4 linked regions of the Macaca mulatta genome follow. The protein of the gene in region 4 purifies or fractionates together with the protein of the main gene of each other region. This does not show direct contact. Links are inferred from orthologs where the notes say so. Each region holds a gene or a part of one and is shown on either strand. Other genes may lie near its edges.

Region 1 (5,045 bases), on a different chromosome or scaffold from region 4:
GGATTACAGGTGTACGCAACCATGCCTGGCTATTTTTTTTATTTTTATTTTTTTGTATTTTTAGTAGAGACCAGGTTTCACCATGTTGGCCAGGCTGGTCTTGAACTCCTGACCTCAAGTGATTGACCCACCTCGGCCTCACGAAGTGCTGGAATTACAGGCGTGAGCCACTGCGCCCAGCCACCTGACCTATTTTCCTACTACTCTTCCGTTTGCTCACCTAGCTCTACTGGTCTCCTTGTTGTTCTTCAAACATGCCCAGGATGGCCCCATTTCAGGGCTTTTGTACTTGCTGTTCCCTCTGCTTGGGACATCCTTCTTCCAGATAGCACATGGCTCCCTCCCTCATTCCTCCAGGTCTCTGCTCCTCAGAGAGGCCTTCCCTGAGCACCTTGTCTAAAAGCTGCACTTCCAGCCTAGGCAAGATAGCAAGGCCCTCCATCTCTACAAAAAATTTACAAAAAATTAGCTGGGTGTGGTGGCGCACACCTGTAGTCCCAGCTACTTGGGAGGCTGAGGTGGGAGGATTGGTTGAACCCAGGAGTTCAGGTTACAACAAGCTGTGATTGTGCCACAGCACTCCAACCTGCGTCACAAACAAACAAACAAAAACAACAACAACAACAAAAACTGCACTCCCAGGCTTTCTGCCCCATTGCCTTAGCGTACAGTCCTAGCATGAATAACTTACAGAACTCATTTGTGTTGTCTTGATTCTTGGCTGCACCTACTTACCTGGTTCAGGAGCAGTGCCTGGCACACAGTAGGCACTTAATGAGAGGCTGAACGATGGAGAGCTGAGCCTGGTCTGACCTGTTCTTCCTGCTTTCAGGCCAGGACTGAATAGTGATTGGGAGGTGGCAGGTGGTGGAGAAGAGGCGTCAGGAACAGGAAGTAAGGAAGGGTTCAAGGAGCTGGAACTGTGTTATTTTGGGCAGGGCAAAAACAACAGCAATTCCTATTTCTTGAGAGCTTTCTTTTGTGCCGTGCACTTTACATATCATGATCGTCTTTATTTTCCGGATGAGGAAACGGAGGCTTAGAGAAGTGAAATGATTTCTCTAAGCTCACACAGTGTTCAGTGGCCTAGTGCGACTCGAACTCAAGTCTGCCCCATTCCAGAACTTTCTTCACCTGGAGCCAGGGGAAGCTTGCGAGGCGCCCTGTCCGTATGGAACAGTGCTTTATGGAAATGTACTGGATTCAGCTGTTTTCTGCCAATTACACATTTTTCAGGAGTTAGAGCTATTTTTCTAATATAACTGGGAGTTAAATTTGCTAAACCTGGCAACCCAGGTTTAGCAAATACTTTTATTATTTGTAGAGATGGTGGTCTCCCTATGCTGCCCAGGCTGGTCTTGAACTACTGGCTCCTGCCTTGTCCTAGGGGGAGTTTGGACTTAAGCCTAGGACTTCAGCGAATGGCCCGCCCAGGATCCCCAAATGCTTTTTCCAGGCTAATCCACGACCTGAGCCGGTCCTTACCTTTGGAAGCGCAATGAGCTTCCCGGGCTTGAATCCTCTTTTCTGGGCTAGGGCACTGGGGAGTCGAGAGCCACGAGCGGACCCTTTAAGAGTGATTTCGAGGGCGGGCTCACGGGGGCGTGGCGAATCCGGGGGCGTGCCGGTTCGGGGCCGGCCAATCGGGAGGCGGGAAGAACGCGAGGGCGGTCCCGGCGCGAGCAGGCTGGGAAGGGTTAAAGGGGCGCGCCCGTGGGTCGCGGACTGTCCGGTTGCTCCCGCCTCCTTCCGTCGGATCTGAGCTCTCCCGCGGCTGCGCCGCCCCGGCCGCCCAGGAGACAAAGCGCTGCTGCCGCGGTTGCCGCAACCGGGCCAGTCCTGGACCATGGCCGGGCCACCCCCCAGCCTCGCGCCTCCCGTCCCGTCGCCGCCCTAGGCCTGCGCTGCGAGGTAAGGCGGGCCTGGCGGGGGGACCTGCACCGGGACACGGGACCCGGGTCAGGCCGCCCTGGGCCTCGGGGTTCCCCGGCCACCTGGAGAGCGCGCTGCGGGGATCTTCCCTGCTGGGACTTTGCACCAGTGGTCACTTCTCCAGCTGCCGAGGCGAACTTGGCCGATGACCACCCTCCCCGCCCTCAGCCCATAGGGACGTCTGCCGCTGTGGGGGACTGCGGACAAGCCCCCTATTCTGCCGCTGATCACCCATCTGGGGCCCTGACTGTCCTTTAAGGAACTTAAGAGAGCTGCCACGCACAACACACAAAGGGACAGAGAGCAGCCGGGAGCAGGGCCACACCTGGAGAAGCAGCCCCTGCCGTGGGCAAGGGGGCTGCCTGTGTCTGGACGGCGGTGCTGGCACGTCCCTGGGGTCCCTGCTGGTGCGCTGACGGACAGGCTGGTCTTCAGTGTTCTTGGCACACATGTTTTTCAGCCTGTGCCTGCCACACCCTCTTCCCCACGCCCGCTGCTGGGGGACACTGAGGGCAGTTGGATTCAACCCCAGGACCTGTGGTTCTGGCTTCTTTCGTTAAAGTGAGTGCCAAAATGCCATGCTTCAGTCTCCCCAGAGACCTGGGTTCCAGGCCAGCTGTGCCCCTGGAGATCTTGGATGAATTATTTGCCTTTTTGACAGCTCTTTCCCTGAAAGCATTTTGCAAAATGACTCTTCAGGAGTAAATTCACTCAGCCCATAGAGGGATGGAAGTTAACATCCCCATTTTGCAGATGAGGCTGAGAAAACCCCGACTCACAGCAGCTAATATTTGCAATCCATTTCCCATAGTTTGCCAGTGGGTTTTCCTTCTTTTAGCTCATGGACCCTTGCCACACAGCCCATTTTAACAGATGAGGAAACTGAGGCTTGGAAAGGTGAAACGACTTGTCCAAGGCCTTCCAGCCTGGACCTGCAGAGGCAGGAACTTTGCCTTGGGAGCAGCACGGGGCCAGGCTCCCTCCAGCTTCCTGTCTGGCCCTGGGCTGTTGAATCAGCAGCAGTGCCCACAGCGGACTCTGAACTTCTTGGAAAACAGTGTGGGGAGATAAGGCAGGGACCAGGCCTTCGCTCCAGGCAAGGCTGGAGCCTGTGCCCCTGCAGTTTCCTGCCTTCCCTGTTCTGGTGGAGGCAGGGGTCATGGGCAGAGCTGGGTCCTGTGCCTGCTGGTGACTTTGAAGCAGTTTGGCCTCCATCTGGGCAGTGCAGGGAGGTGGTTTGCTGAGCAGGAGGGAAGTTGCTATTCCTTTGGCCTTGATGGGGTGGAGAGACCCCAAGATTGGCTCCTTTATTTGGGTGGCTTGCCTGGAGCATGTGATTCTGGGCACAGTTGTATGCCTCTGGCCAACTTATTGAACCTCCCTGTGTCCATTTCCACATCTGTGAATGTGGGGTGAGACCCCTTGTCATGGGGCCGTTGAGAAGTTTCAGAAGATACCTGCAGAATGAATCAAACAGCTATGTGAGCACCTACTGCATGCCTGGCACTGGAATTCACACCACAAACGCCCCAGCTTTCCTAGAGCAGGCAAAAATGACCCAGGTATTAATAATTTCAGGTGGAGGCACAGGAGAGGGACTGGAGGGCCTCTTATGCATAGGGTGGCCAGGGACCACCTCTCCGAGGAGGTGACAGCTAGGCTGAGACCAAAGGATGGGGAACTGGCCTTGTGAAGACCTGCAAGCAGACAGCCGGGACCAAGTCTTGGAGGTGGGGATGTATCTGGTGTATTTAAGGAACAGAAAGGAGGCCAGGATGGCTGGAGCTGAGTGAACAAGGGGGAAAGAGGTAGGAAAAGGGAACTTGGAAGCCATGGGAGGCTTGGACTGTTTTTTGTTTTTTTTTTTTTTTTTTTTTTTTTTTTTTTGAGGCAGGATCTCACTATGTCGCCCAGGCTGGAGTGCAGTGGCATGATCACTCCCAAGTTCAAGGGGTCCTTCCATGTTAGCCTCCCAGACAGCTAGGACTAGAGGCTTGTGTCAACATGCCCAGCTATTTTTTTTCTATTTTTTGTGGAGGTAGGGTCTTGCTGTGTTGTCCAGGCTGGTCTCTAACTCAAGCGATCCTCCGGCCTCAGCCTCCCAAAGTGCTAGCATTACAGGTGTGAGCCACCGCACCCTGCCTAAGGATTTAATTTTATGCTGAGAGAAGTAGGGAGCCATGGGAGGGTTTAGAGCAGAGGAGGAGTGTGATTGGACTTAATTTTCACAGGATCCCTCTGTGGGGAGTGGATTTCAGTGTGGATCGGAGAAGAGCCTAGGAAGGAGGCTTGGATCTTACCTTAAGGAACATGGATGGGGGGGCAAGGAGACTTGTGTGGAGGCTACAGCAGCTGTTCCAGTGAATGGTGATGGGGCCTAGAATGGGGAGGTGGAGTGGACAGATTAGGCAACTGATTTGGAAGACGCTGGAGAGGCGGGATCAACTGGACTTGATATGTGATCAGATGTGGGGGTGAGAGGGAAACCAAGGGCCATTTGCTGAGATCAGAAGTATGACACGGGGACGTTTGGGGAAAAGCCAAGAAGAATGTGAACTGCAGCTGTGCTCAGCAGGCGTTGTGTGCCTGGCCCCGTGCTCCGCAAAGTCCGTGTAGTCACTGTATCATTGTCACAACAGCCCTGACTTAGGCACTGTTACGATCTCATTTTACAGATGCAGAAACGGAGGCCCAGAGAGGTTAATAGCCTGCCTGGGGTTCCCCAGCCCAGATGCTGCAGAGCTGACATTTGAATCCAGAGAAGAGCAAGCTGAGGCTGGAGCTGAACAGAGGGCAGGGAGGCGAGTGGTGGCCTGAGAGGTAGGAGCGGAATTGGGCAAGTGGGGCGGGAGGGTCCTGTGAGAACTGGGGCCAGCATCCACATGGGAGTTGATGGGTGGTGGTGTGGGGAATGCGTGAATCCCTGTGGCTTAGAGAGGGACAGCTGTATCTGAGAGGCAGGGTGGGGATTCAACACCTGGAGACTTTGGGGGCTCTGGCCTTGGCCCCCCACTAGGTCAGGACAGACTGACCTCAGTTTCTTTTTTTAAGTTCCGTGATACATGTGCAGAACATGCAGGTTTGTCACATAGGTATACGTGTGCCATGGTGGC
Region 2 (4,280 bases), on a different chromosome or scaffold from region 4:
GAGAATAATGAGGCACAATTAACACTGAAAAATCTTTTTCACTACTACTTAGTGCATTTCTACCATCCATAATGGAGCATGAGGAACTAATAAGTTCATTGGATCCAAACAGATGTTACACGAATTGTCACTGTCACAGTATTCTAGTGCACATATTTTTAAAAGTTAAGGTGGCTGTGGCCTTAGTATTACTGCAGAGCCCATACATAATTCAACACCTTCAAATTCAGTATGAAAATTAAACTTTAAACATACCTTTGCTGTTGTGTAGTCTACTACTTTCTTTGTGGTCAGATCACATTTGTTCCCTACCAACAATTTGTTGACATTTTCACTGGCATAACGATCTATTTCCTGCAGCCACTGTTTAACATTATTGAAGGACTCCTAAAAAGACATTTGAAAGTTTGATAATATGGTTCTGGAATAAATGGAAACAACCTTCCTGACCTAACAGACAAATAACAAAGAGCTAGTGAGACAACTCTAGGTACAAAATAACCACTGCTAAGGAGTGAAGGGGATTTTTTTTTTTTTTTTTTGAGACAGGGTCTTGCTGTGTTACCTAGGCCAGGGCGCAGTGGCACAATCACAGCTCACTGCACCCTCGACCTCCCAAGCTCAAGCCATCCTCCCGCTTCAGCCTCCGGGATAGCTGGGACTACAGGCACATGCCACCACACCTGGCTATTTTTTTTTTTTGGACTTCTTGTATAGATGGGGTTTCACTATGTTGCCCAGGCTGGTCTCAAACTCCTGAGCTCAAACAATCGGCCCACCTTGGCCTCAAAAATGCTGAGTTTACAGGTGTTAGCCACTGTGGCTGGCCGTAAACAGATATATTAAAATGACTATAAATATCTAAATGATGACAAACTAGAATTTACAGGCTTAATGATGAAAATACCTTATTTGAAAGGGACAGCTTAATATTAAACTGCAACTCAGGCAAACCCAACTGCTTTGGAATATGCAATTTAAATGTACTACAAAACCTGGTTTTGAAATTTGATAATTTTTTTTTTTGGGGGGGGGGGGGAGACAAAGTCTTGTTCTGTCATCCAGGCTGGAGTGCAATGGCACGATCTCGGCTCACTGCAACCTCTGCCTCCTGGGCTCAAGTGATTCTCCTGTCTCAGCCTCCCAAGTGACTGCTAGGATTACAGGCACGCGCCCCCACACCTGGCTAATTTTTGTCACGCCTGGCTAATTTTTGGTTTGTTTTTTTGTTTTTTCTTTTGGAGACAGAGTCTGGCTCTGTCACCCAGGCTGGAGTGCAGTGGCCGGATCTCAGCTCACTGCAAGCTCCGCCTCCCGGGTTTCCGCCATTCTCCTGCCTCAGCCTCCTCCCGGGTTTACGCCATTCTCCTGCCACCTCGCCCGGCTAGTTCTTTGTATTTTTTAGTAGAGACGGGGTTTCACCGTGTTAGCCAGGATGGTCTCGATCTCCTGACCTCGTGATCCGCCCGTCTCGGCCTCCCAAAGTGCTGGGATTACAGGCTTGAGCCACCGCGCCCGGCCTAATTTTTGTACTTTTAGTAGAGATGGGGTTTTGTCATGTTAGCCAGCCTGGTCTCTAACTCCTGGCCTCAGGTGATCCACCCGGCTCGGCCTCCCAAAGTGTGGGGATTACAGGCGTGAGCCACTGCACCCGGCTTGAAATTTGATAAAATTTTGGTTTATGAATAAGATGACCTACTGTTACTACTAGACATGTCAAAATGTTATTAAATATACTTATTTTCTTATCCACAGTCATATTTACAGGAGGAAAGTTTTCATTTAAAAGTATTTCACGGCAATATGACTAGAGATTTTTTTAAACTAGCATCATTTTTTTCTCTTGCAGATATCACCCACCCAGCACTTCTAATGGCACTGAATCAAAATGTTTACATGTAAGTTATCTCCTAATTAGCTATGATTTCATATTAGAGGTGAGATTTAACATTTGCCAAAAGAAAAATAAATTCCAATTTTGAATGTTTCTCTTCTGTCCTTTGATAGAAAGGACATCGAAATCTAAGTTTCTGATTAAAAATAATAATAACAAAAAAACAGTTATGGCCCCTGGAGTACATGCTTCACTGTCCCAGATTGTTCCCTCCATCACCCTGCCCTCTCTCACAGCTAATCTTCAGATACTCATTCTCATACTAAGATCCTCCTACAGCTTATCCTATTCAAATCCTTTTTTTCTGAACCACATCCTCCACAGGCAGAGACCCGCAAATCCCTCTTTTAGCAATTCTGATTACCAGGCCATATTCCTGTTAACAACACCAAGAATACAATATAAGTCAAGCAACTCACGATTCCCTACAAACTCTTGCCTATATGTTAGAGTCTTGGCTATTTGATCAGTTATTTAGTTCATAATAAATACAACCAGAATCCCTTGAAAGCAAATGTAAAACTTATTACTAATGTTCTATTTATTACAGGAAAAAAAATGTCTTTTAAGTGATTCACATTTATATTTGAGTGGACAAAGTTTTCTGCCATAAAGTTAATACTGATGGCTTATATGCGAAGTAGTAAATGAATCTTACATTAATCGAATAATGACTTCCTACTTGGTCACTGTAACACAATCTCCTCTTGGAACTTACCTGATCTGTCACATCATACACAACTATGATGCCATGGGCTCCTCTGTAATAACTGGAGGTGATTGTTCGAAATCTTTCCTGGCCTGCTGTGTCCCACTATTACAAAACAATCAAGAAATCCAAACAATTCCATTAAAATAAAGTTGGGGAAAAGTGTAGGAGGGAGGGGAAATAGTTTAGTTTTCATAACTGTGGAGATTATCAGGATGTGATATAGAAACATTAGTCCTCAACTCATACCACTATATTGCACAGTAATAAGTACCTGGAAGTCCAGAAAAGAAGGTAGTACCTACAACTGAGCTTACGATAATACTAAAATTACAAGCTGTTGAGAGCAGGAAGTATGTCATACTTTTCACATTCCCTACCGCCTTTAGCACCATGTTGAGGAATGTCACTGGCCTAAAGCCCTTGAACACAGAACTCTTCCATGTAAGACAAACTCACTTGCTTGCACATTCTACCATGATTAAATTAGCATTGGAGGGACCTGATTCAAATAACTACCAGTCAAGACAGAACTTTAATTATCCCAAGCAGGTGTCTTTTTCTTCCCCCCTTCAAGCAGGGTCTCAGATCTGTCATCCAGGCTGAGTGCAGTGGCATGATCATGGCTCACTGCAGCTTCAACCTCCCCAGCTCAAGCAATCCTCCCACCTGAGCCTCCTGAGGAGCTGGGACTATAGGTACATGCCACCACACTCAGCTAATTTTTTCTTTTTTGTAGAGACGGAGTTTTGCTATATTGCCCAGGCTGGTCTCAAATTCCTGGACTCAAGCAATTCTCCCAAAGTGCTGGCATTACTGGCATGAGCCACCATGCCTGGCCAGGTGTTGTCTTCATCCTAGAGAAAACAATGTAAGGAAGATGATTCCAAACACTTTTATAAAATGTATTTTAAGAGCAACTTAACTGCCTTTCAACTAGTTAGGCTCAAATTCCAAAAACAAATGCTAACATTATTGCATTATAGTTCTGGGTTTAAAAAAACTGTTGGGGCCGAGCGCGGTGGCTCAAGCCTGTAATCCCAGCACTTCAAGAGGCCGAGACAGGTGAATCACGAGGTCAGGAGATTGAGACCATCCCGGCTAACACGGAGAAACCCCGTCTCTACTAAAAAACACAAAAAACTAGCCAGGCGAGGTGGCGGGTCCCAGCTACTCAAGGGGCTGAGGCAGGAGAACGGTGCAAACCTGGGAGGTGGAGCTTGCAGTGAACTGAGATCCGGCCACTGCATTCCAGCCTGGGCAACAGAGCGAGACTCTGTCTCAAAAAAAAAAAAAAAAAAAAAAAAACTGTTGGGACTGGGCACGGTGGCTCACGCCTGTAATCCCAACACTTTGGGAGGCTAAGGCAGTCAGATCACGAGGTCAGGAGTTCGAGACCAGCCTGACCAACATGCTAAAACCCCATCTCCACTAAAATTACAAAAATTAGCCATGCATGGTGCGCGCCTGTACTCTCCCAGCTACTCGGGTGACTGAGGCAGAAGAAAAGCTTGAACCCGGGAGGCGGAGGTTGCAGTGAGCCGAGATCGCACCATTACACTTCAGTTTGGGGGACAGAACGAGACTCCATCTCAAAAAAAAAGAGAAAACTGTTAGCCAGGTGCAGTGGCTCATGCCTGTAATCCCAGCACTTTGGGAGGCCAAAGCAGGAGGATC
Region 3 (5,075 bases), on a different chromosome or scaffold from region 4:
AGTGAAGGACTGTTCAACTAAACTACTTCTTCTAAATGATAATTTCCTTTTCTATTGTAAAATATACTAGTGCAGTTTTTTAAAATGCCAATAGTTCAGTGATAACCACATCCTTAAGAAAATACTTAAGAACAAACAAGAAAATTGTATCTGAAGATACTATAGCCAAGTTTCTGGTAAATTCAAAGGGAAATGAACATCCCCTAAAATATCCAGATCCTGAATTTACTTTTCATCACTTAATACTTACAGCAACAGCCTGAGTGCCACTGGAGCCATTTATTAAAAATTAGTCATTACTACTAAGCACATTCTCCCCACCCCTTGAAGAAGACGAAGAAAAAAAACAGAACTACTCAGGTGTGGGGAAGGGGTGTGTATATGGGGCAAGTGAGGAAAGTAGCAACTTGTCTCTCTGGGGACAATTAAAAAATGAGACTTTGGTTTGACCCAAGTATCACCAGGATGTCAGAAAACTAAGGAAGGGTCTTCTTCTAACAACTGCTTCATTGCTCTTCTTTTTCTTAAAATGGAAATGGTCTGTCACAATGTAGACATGGAAATGAGCACCATGTGGAACAGTGATTAGACAGCGAAAGAAACTAACAGAATTACTGGAATTTGCCTTCGGAGTGGTGTAGATAACGAAGTAGGAAGTGCTTATGCATGTTTTAAGGCTCGTGTTTAAGCAAAGACACATGCAATTCAAGATTAATATACAAGAACCACTTTTCAATTTTTTGAAAAAAAAAATTAAGTTCAGGCTTAACTATGAAATAAAAATTTCACTACGTATACCTGCACTAGTTGCTAAACTGCATTCCACTTAAAGGACAGTACAGGTAACATGCCTCAGTAGACCAGAGTGTAAAAACACACAGACCACCACTGGACAGATCTCTATGTCATACACCGCCTTGGTTTTTTTTTTTTTTTTCAAACGGAGTCTCCTCGCTCTGTAGCCCAGGCCGGAGTGCAGCGACGCCATCTTGGCTCACTGCAACCTCCGCCTCCCGGGTTCAAGCGATTCTCCTGCCTCGGCCTCCCGGAGCAGCTGGGGCTACAGGCGCGCGCCACCACGCCCAGCTAATTTTTGTATTTTTAGTAGAGACGGAGTTTCACCATATTGGCCAGGCTGTATGGAGCTCCGACCTCAGGTGAACCGCCCACCGCGGCCTCCCAAAGTGCTGGAATTACAGGTGGGAGTGAGCCGCCGCGCCCAGCCTATAAACCGCTGTTAAGGTTGCAAGATGAGCGTGTACTAGGATGTGTAACTGGTAATTTCTGGAGTGTCTGGCAACAAACCTCAAAATCAAATTTCCTTAGAAATCCTTGGCCTAAGTTTTATTTTTAAAAAGGTCAACACAAAATTAATAAGTTCAAAAGGTGGCAAGTTCTATCACATTAATAAAACCAAAGCACAGCACAGGCAATAATATATTAACAAGAAGGTAATTATTTCAGTAACAGCAGCAACAGGTTCCCTGGAGGAGAATCCCCACTTCTCTATAAACGCTGCACCTAGATGGATTCAGAGCACAAAATTTACCACAGGACATCTAGCAGACCGAAGTCAAGCAACGCTGATCTTTTAAACAGATTTCACATTTCTTACCATTTCCTACCTTAACACTCCACCAAAAAAAGCAAATAGCTATCGAAATATAAAAAATAACGTTTCTAGCAACCCAAAAGTAGTCAGAGATCTCAAAAAAAAAAAAAAAAAATAGGGAAAGGGGTGCTGATGCTAATAAAGTGACACTACAAAAACTAAGTGCAAAAGTAAACCTACTCCTCACAGCGTATCACAGAACAGTTAATGGTTCAGGTACAGAGCCTCCTCCCCCAGGTCCTCCTTCCGCGACCATGACTCCCCAGTGACTATTTTACACCAAGTAACTACTGAAAACGCCCAAGGAAAAGGAGTGGGGGAGGGTGGCTTTTGAAGATTCAGGTAGCAAAGAGTGACTGCTAATTTCATAAACAATAATGCAAAACAAGCAAACCACCGCTCCTAGCCAATTACCAAGCAGGAGTCAAAGTTCCACCACGTAATTCGGGCCTGGGCCTTTTTTAGGCAAACACGTAATCGAAAGCACAGTCATTTCCCTCTTGATATTTTATTCATGCCGGCAATACCATTCACACTGAGCAGGTAGCAAAACAAAAGAAAAAAATAACAGCAGAGAAGGCAGAGGGGCGCGGGGTGTCCCAGCCTCTGTCTCTCCCCGGCCGCGAGCTCCCGCAGGCCGGGACGGGAAGCGCAGCGTCCTCTCTGCTGAGGTCTCGACCCCCACCCGCCCCACGGGGCCGAGGGTCCCCTGGGCGGCAGCGGGAGGGGACGTGGGGGCGGCGGGGACGCCAGACGCCGCGGGGACACCGGACGCCACAGAGAGCCTGTCGCCTCGGGGGCCTCCCCGGGCTGCGGGAAGTTTCCGTCCCGCTCTCGCGGCCCCTCCCGGCGAGCCCGCCGCAGCCCAAGCTCAGGTGCAAACTTCCCAAACGTCGCTGCACCCGGGGTCCCAACCCGCGCCCAGACCCGACGCCCTCCCCCGGCGCGATCCCGGCCGTCTGCACGGTCCGCCGCACCCATGCCCAGAAGGGACTGGCTGGGCCGCGGACCCGCCCGGGGACCCCACCGAGGACGCAGAGTGGCCCCTCGGCCGCCCCCGGCCCCAACCCTCCCCGCGGCCCCAGCCCCGACCGTCCCCGCGCCGCCGCGGGCCTGAGCGACCGGCCGGGCCTGCGCTGCGCGCCCCTCACCTTGGTGGCCATGGCGGGCGGGTCCCCCGGCCCGGGACGGCCGGCTTGTCTCCCGCGCCGCGGATGGTGATTCTGAGCCGCGCGGACGAAGGCAAGGGCGAGGGCGGCGGCTCCGGCTGGGCCCCGGCGCGGCGGCCGCTCCTCCGCCTCGGCCCCGAGTCTCGACGCTCAGGCCCAGCCGCTGGGCGCTCGGCTACTCCCGCGCCGCCCGCTCCTGCAGTTCCTGAAAGTCCCCGGCTGCGCGGCCCCCGCCCCTGCCGGCCGAGCCTCCCTTTTACCGCGGCGCGCGCGGCGCCCGGCGGAAGCGCGCCCTGGGCCCTCGGCCGCGGCCCGGCCTCCTCGCCTCCTGGCCGCCCCCGCGCTGCGCCGCGCCGCGCCGCCGCCCCGGGCAGTCGCTGCCGCCGCCGCCGGGCGCCCTGGGTCGAGGACGGGGGCTGCGTCCCGCGCGGCGGCGGGATCCGGACAGGCGCCCCGGGCCATGGCCCGCACCCTGCGTGGCCGCCCCACAGGAAGCGCTCCGCGGCCCGCACAGCCGCTCGGGGGAGCCGAACCCGACTCCGGTTCACGCTCGGCCAGCGCCGCACGCCGTGGCTCGGGGCTTTCCGTGCATGAGGCGGGCGGGGGGGCAGGAACTCTCGACGCTCCCGGCAGACAGGAGCCCCGCAACCCCGCTGTCTTTGCCCCACGCCGAGGGTGTTGCGGGGTCGCCGTGCCCTTGGCCGAGTACTTTGAGTGCCACGTAAACAGCCGGGAAGGAACGGAGCAATGGCTTCCTGGGCCTCTTTCTCCTGCCCGGAGGCTCCCTCAGGCTGGGGTCCTGGCTTGGAGCCCCTGGGACGGGACGGTGGGGGGTTCGTTTTGTGACGTCCCATTAACCTCATTCTGGAATCTTGATAAGTTTAAAAATGCCCGAGGGCCCAAGAGGTTTAGGGGACAACAGGCTCTCTGAAGTGGAAATGAGGGCTCTAAAATTTTCCATCTTTCTGTCAGTGTTTCTCTCCAGAGTTGGAGATATATATATGGGTGTTATGAATAAACGAATGACTTGAATTGAGCAGCAAGATTTTTCGCTCAAGGACAAAACACAACTGGAAGATGTATCATAATTGGCATATTAGTGGAGTGCTTTTTTATTATGAGGGATATATTTGTAAGAAGAGACAACTATCAAATCTTCAATACTCTGGTATTTAGAGTTAATGTCAAGTTTGTGTCTCCTTAAATACATTCTATTTGACCTGAGGTTTCACTAGTTACATTCAATAATGTGGTTTAAAATAGATACGGTATCGCAGAATTTTCTGTGAATTTTTGTGTTTGTTGAGCTCATGGTTAAGCTATAGTCGTCATAATATGCATAAATAGTTGTCTTTCTCCATAAAAAAAGATGGAGGCCAATATTCATTGACAGCCTGCTTGCTATATACTGGGCTTTTACATCCCCATCTCATTTAATCCTTATAAGAAACGTTTGAGAAGCTCATTATTGTCCACTGTTTACAAAGAAGAGCGAATCAGGGCTCACTTAAATAACTTGCGCTTTTGGTAATACTTACTCAAATCGAAAATGACCACAGCCTTGGACCCAGCAGCCCTCCTAGGAGTTTATCCTGTCAAACTTGTACAAGTGATCAAAGATGTTCATCAAAGATTGTTCGGTCCTAACTCCAACCAGAAAACAACCTATGTGTTTGTTAACAGGACTCTTTCAGTAAATAAGATACATCCATTCAAACAAAATACTACAAAGCCCGTAAGAAAATAATATTTTAAGAGGTGTTAAGAAAGATAAAAGAACATGATGTATGGTACATTTATGTTAAAAAAAAAAAAAAAGGAAATGTGTTATACATGCCTAGAAAACTTCTGAGAAAGTTTCGCCAAATCCTGTTGTCAGAGTTTTTGACCATGTGTATGTATGACTTCCTTTAAAAACAGAAGTTATGTTTTAATAAACAATGGAAGAAATAACTTGGCTAAGAGTACACACTAGTATGTGGAAAAACCAGGATTTGAACTCAGTCAATGTCATAAGTAATGAGTTTTCCATATTCTTTTAAATGTGAAGCCTGGGTACAGCTCTCTCTGCAGCCCTTCAACCATGCCTCCCTTGATAGGAAGGCACAAAGTTAGGGGCACACCTGTGAAGACACGCCTTTCCACACGCTCATCTGGCAAATTCTATGCAAATAGTCATCCTGGGCACCCGGCACCATGAAAGCAAGAAGACCAGAGACTTCAAGCTTTTCCCACCTGAACAATTCCGTAACACTGGTTTTATTTTTTAGAAGTAATGGTGGAGGGCTGAGATG
Region 4 (5,036 bases):
TTCAGGAGGAAGAGCTTACTTTGAGGAAGATAAACACAAACCACTAAAATCTCAAAACATGTAAACAAGATACGGTGTTGAACATCTAGCAGTAAAGCTTCATGTGAACAGTACTATTAAAAACTATTACAAAACAGAAATAAACTGAGAATTTAAGTGAATTCCACAAACATTTATTGAGTATTTACTACGTGTTACCCACTAAATTACGATGAAAGAGTAGGGCTAAGAATAAGCATAAAAATTCTACCTGAGTGTAATTATTCATTTCAGAATATGAAGATTAGAAATAATTGGCATACAGCAAAACAATGGAATTCAGAATTTGGTAGTTGTCAAACAGAAAAGAGTGACAAATCCTGAATGCCAACTCTGCCTTATCCCTAGGAAACGCTTTGATTTGTTCAAGGAAGGTAAAAGGTCAAACAGGCTTTTTCATAATCTATTATCCTTGAAAAAGATGAATCTTAGTGTTTGATTCCCTGTTTCCAAAAAAACCTGATTTTTAATTGTAATTTTGGTCAAGTAAATTTCCCATGGTTGACAGTAGGAACCACAGACGTAAAGATTTAAGACAGGCTTCAAGTTCTAGGATAAAAAGGCCAAAAGTAAAAAGTTCTGGACGCTCGAGTCAGAGAAGGCACCAGAGAGACAAGAACATGAGGATTACAGATGGTATTATGGTATTAGGTGTCTCCAGTAAATGCTTTCAAGAGAAATTTCTCAGTGTAATTCTGAGACATGTTACATAGGATCAGATCTCAGGTATTCTACTTCCTAATTGCAAACAAGTGACTTAACCTGTCTGTGCTTCAATTTTTGTATCTATAAAAGGGGGATAATGATATTACTATTTTATCCCTCGCACGTGGATTAAATGAACTAACTAATGAAAAGTGCTTAGAACAGTACCTGGCACATAAGCAGTCATTGAGTGTTAGTTATATAGCAACAACTGTATCAGTTGTTAGTTTATATATAAACTATAGTTTATATATATTTAAAACTATATAGTTTATAAACTGTTAATATAGCAACAACTATATTAGTTGTTAGTTATATAGTTGTTAGTTTTATAGTGTTATTTATATATTAGTGTTAGTTATATAGCAACCCCATACCCCCACATATACCCCCAACTATACCCCCATAACTTACACAGAATTGGAACACAAGACTTCCTTATTAGCTCAACAGAGTTCCAAATCTACTAATCCGAGGGACCACCTTCTGGGCTGTGGTCATCTCAGTAATGTAGCTATTCTATTCAATCTTCAGATTTTTGTTTTTACATTAGAGGAAACCAAGGCACAGAAGTTTTACTGGTTTGCTCAAGGGTCACCTCTCTCTAACCCACTCTAGCCTTTGGAAATGTTAGTGGTGTTCCACTTTTCTGCTGAATTTAGTTTTATTAAATTCTGAATTTAGTTTCATTAAACTAGTCTTCCAGGGTTGGATGAAATCTGGGTTTGATGAACTTCCCAATAGAGCTGACTAAGCAGGACCTAGGAAGGAGCTACTTCATAGAACTAGCTGACATCCAGTTACAGTGGCACCAATAGTCTCAGAAAAGAGCAGGTTGGGCCAGTGGGGATTTCTTCCATGTAAATCAGACAGCATAGACACAGAGGATCTAAAAGTGGGGACTGAGGAAATTGGTTTTAGGCAGAACCCAATGTTGGGAGATGGCAAGATTTAAGTGAACAATTTTTAAACTGGGAAGGAATATTATGCCAAGAAGCCAGTGAATATCCAAGGGAGGTGTCTTGGGCACACAGGGATAGGGACCTATGATATGTAAAGGTCACCATGGATACTTTTGAGATGAGGCATTAGTGACAATAGAGGTTAGCAGCTATGGTGATAGCTTATCAAAATAATCTTTTGATCAATCATTCAACAGTATTTACTGAGTTCCTATGTCTAAGGCAGAGAGGAAGGTGACACACTGATAAAATACTGTTATTTCTATCTCTACACATTTCATTACATTTTCTAACAGTCAAATCAGTAAGTGAGGCAGTTTCTGGCCTACACTAAACCATTACTGAATTAATGAATATGCCTTCAAACAAGTGGGATAAGGGGGTAGGGAGACTGGAGAAACCAGCTGAATAGGGTTAAGACAAGTCTGTAACGTGAACAATGAGGCATTTCCATAGCATTTTTACGTTTTGTAAACCACTCTCGCATTTATTTTTCCCCCACTTATAACTCCAAAGGCTATAAGGTAAGGCAGTTAATGGTTTTATTAAACTGAAGAGTTAACTTTGGCCCAGAAAGCTTTATTGACTTGCCCAACGTTACACAACACATGTCAGTTGCAGGGGCAGGAACTAAGAACCCAGGCTTCCTGCTTCCCCGCCCATTCAGTCCTTCCACTGAGCCACACTGCCAAGCAAGATCCAGAGGCTTGGAAGTTGAGGACAAAGCCCCGAGGTTAGAGAGCACTGGCACTTCACACCTGGACCTGAACCTGTTGCCCGTGTGGCCTTAGTAGGAGGACAGTGGGTGACCCGTCGCGGTTTGGGGTTGGGAGGTAATGGCAGGCTCACCTCCTCTGTGGGAATCAGGTGGTTACTTACTCATATTGCCCGTTCCTCTGGGCTAGGGTCAGGGCGCAGGGCTCCCGGAGAGGACCCTTCATCTCCATACCCTCGACAGTATGCGGGCGCTAGTCAAGGGTCTCCTGTGGAAGCGCGGTGGGGAGGAGTGGTGCACTGCGGGGCGAAGGGGGTCTTCCACCCCCCGCCCCGGCCGCCCTCACCCGCCCCGCCCGGCTTCGCCTCCCGCGCCGGCCCCCTCCCCCACTCTGCTTGGCCTCTGGGCCACCCGGTTGCCCCGCCCCGCCGTGTTCCGCAGGGCCCCCGACCCCCACCCGCGGCCCTGCGCGGTCTCCCCTCCCCCTTCTCTCCGGCGGATACGGCAAGGGGCTGGGCTCCGACCGGGAGCGGCGGCTCCATCCAGGCGGCCTCCGGGCTCGGCGGGACAGCGGACTGCGGGCGGATCCGACGACAGTGGCTCCCGAGTCCCCACACCCACCCACCCACCTCGGCTGCGTGTCGTTTGAGGAACCGCTCCGCGCCGGGCGCCGGGCGCCGGGAGCCGGGAGCCGGTAGCGGGGAGCTGGGAGCTGAGAATCTGACCCGAGAGAGAGCGGCGCCTCGCGCCCCCGCCAGTTTTCCAGGCCGCCGCAGATTCCGCTCCCTGCGGCCAACCTGCGGAACTGCAGCGAGAGACCCGACGGACTGGGGGCGTCCCTACTACGTCCAGCAAGGAATGGGGTTTAAATGCCACCTGTGACATCAAAATTGTTCTGAGGACTTTGAAGATGGCCACAGAAACAAAACACAGTCACACCTATGGGGGATCTCAAACCTGTTGTGTCAATACGACCCACATCATCCATATATGAAACAATATATATATAAAATATATAAAATTTATATATTATATAATATATATTATACATAATATATATTATATATGTAATATTATATATAATATAATATATATTATATATAATATAATATATATTATATATGTAATATTATATATATATATTTCTTAAGGTTATAATGCTCTGTGTTGGTTATCCTACCATTTCCCTTCCTCTTCTTTCTTCTATGCCCTATATCAGAGAATTCCCCAAAGCCCAGACCTTTGCTCCTCCTCTGCATCCCCTCCAGGTCACCTCTAACTAGACAATGTCCAAATATATATCCCTGGCCCAGACCTGTTACCTAATAGAGTCCATTGTTAATACATCACTACGTCACAAAACTAACTCATTATCATTTCACTTAAAAGCCATATATTGTCTTCCCCCTCCTAATCTCTATATCCAATCAGTCAACAAACCCTGTTAATATTTTACATGGAATTACTTTTAGATTCCTTATTTTCTTTCCATTCGCACTGCCATAACTTTATTGTAAGCCCTTGTGATAGCCTATCTGGGTTATTGCATTTTTCTTTAAATAAATCCTATTGGGTTTACTCTGTCCTTTGACCTGTTTACTCTGTTGACAACCATAACAATATTTTTCCCAAAGTAATTTTTCGATTGTGTTATTCATTTGTTCCAGAATATATAATACACTAAGTATCAAGACTGACTGTAAGTCTGTAGTAATTAAAAGTATACTATGGAGATAGACAATCAATGAAACACAATATAAAGCCCCCAAACAGACCACACATATATGGAAGGTTGATATGCAGCGTGTGGGACATTTCAAATCAGTGGGGAAATAATGGATTATCCACTAAGTGGTAGTAGGACTACTGCTTATCCATATGGAAAACTATAAAATTAGACCCCTACCTCTAACCATGGAAGAAAAATCAATTCTAGGTGGATTAAAGATCTAAATGTGAAAAGCAAAACTTTATAACTCTCAGAAAAAAGCTGAGTATCTTTATGAGCTTGGAATATGGAATGAGAATAAGACATTTAGCTAAATAAAATTTCAAAATGTGTGTACTTCAAGACAATATAAACAAGTTAAAAGACAAACTGGCCTGCACAGTGGCTCATGCCTGTAATCCTAGCACTTTGGGAGGCCAAGGCGGTAGGATCACTTTAGCCCAGGAGTTCAAGACCAGCCTGGGCAACGTGGCAAAACCCTGTCTCTACAAAAAATATAAAAATTAGCTGGATGTGGAGGCAAGTGCTTGCAGTCCCAGCTACTCAGGAGGCTGAGGTGGGAGTATCACCTTGAGCCAGCGAGGTCACAGCTGCAGTGAGCCATGGATGGCGCCACTGCACTCCAGCCTGGGAGTCTGGGCGACAGAGCAAGAGCTTGTCTCAAAAAAAAAAAAAAAAAAAAAAGAAAAGAAAAAAGGCCAGCTGTCATCACCTTTCTGACGTCTCCCACCATTTCCCTCCACTCTCTCTAACTAGCTTTGCTTAGTCACACTGACTCCTTGTTGTTCCTAGGACTTGTCAGGCACACTCTTGCCTCAGGGCCTTTGCACTTGCTGTTCACTCTGCCTGCACTCTCACCTCCTTCAGGTCTTTGCTCAAATGTCAC

What was found.
Region 1: the proteins of OCRL (region 4) and PHETA1 purify together in Homo sapiens (co-immunoprecipitation; 5 studies listed by BioGRID and IntAct, counting the BioPlex papers as one, with this or other methods). This does not show direct contact. The link is inferred for Macaca mulatta from reciprocal best matches to the Homo sapiens genes OCRL and PHETA1.
Region 2: the proteins of OCRL (region 4) and RAB1A purify together in Homo sapiens (co-immunoprecipitation; 3 studies listed by BioGRID and IntAct, with this or other methods). This does not show direct contact. The link is inferred for Macaca mulatta from reciprocal best matches to the Homo sapiens genes OCRL and RAB1A.
Region 3: the proteins of OCRL (region 4) and SNX9 purify together in Homo sapiens (co-immunoprecipitation; 3 studies listed by BioGRID and IntAct, with this or other methods). This does not show direct contact. The link is inferred for Macaca mulatta from reciprocal best matches to the Homo sapiens genes OCRL and SNX9.

Annotation. Positions count from the first base shown.
Region 1 is NC_133416.1:118,558,691-118,563,735, reverse strand, and holds the start of PHETA1 (sesquipedalian-1), read left to right. Parts: upstream 1-1,668; 5' UTR 1,669-1,911; intron 1,912-4,607; 5' UTR 4,608-4,752; intron 4,753-5,045. UniProt on the Homo sapiens protein: Plays a role in endocytic trafficking. Required for receptor recycling from endosomes, both to the trans-Golgi network and the plasma membrane.
Region 2 is NC_133418.1:59,625,562-59,629,841, reverse strand, and holds part of RAB1A (ras-related protein Rab-1A), read right to left. Parts: intron 2,709-4,280; coding exon 2,613-2,708; intron 388-2,612; coding exon 256-387; intron 1-255. UniProt on the Homo sapiens protein: The small GTPases Rab are key regulators of intracellular membrane trafficking, from the formation of transport vesicles to their fusion with membranes.
Region 3 is NC_133409.1:76,688,715-76,693,789, reverse strand, and holds the start of SNX9 (sorting nexin-9), read right to left. Parts: upstream 2,988-5,075; 5' UTR 2,776-2,987; coding exon 2,764-2,775; intron 1-2,763. UniProt on the Homo sapiens protein: Involved in endocytosis and intracellular vesicle trafficking, both during interphase and at the end of mitosis. Required for efficient progress through mitosis and cytokinesis. Required for normal formation of the cleavage furrow at the end of mitosis.
Region 4 is NC_133426.1:135,999,881-136,004,916, reverse strand, and holds the start of OCRL (inositol polyphosphate 5-phosphatase OCRL), read right to left. Parts: upstream 2,964-5,036; coding exon 2,925-2,963; intron 2,887-2,924; exon of another isoform or gene 2,669-2,886; coding exon of another isoform or gene 2,666-2,668; coding exon 2,586-2,665; intron 1-2,585. UniProt on the Homo sapiens protein: Catalyzes the hydrolysis of the 5-position phosphate of phosphatidylinositol 4,5-bisphosphate (PtdIns(4,5)P2) and phosphatidylinositol-3,4,5-bisphosphate (PtdIns(3,4,5)P3), with the greatest catalytic activity towards PtdIns(4,5)P2.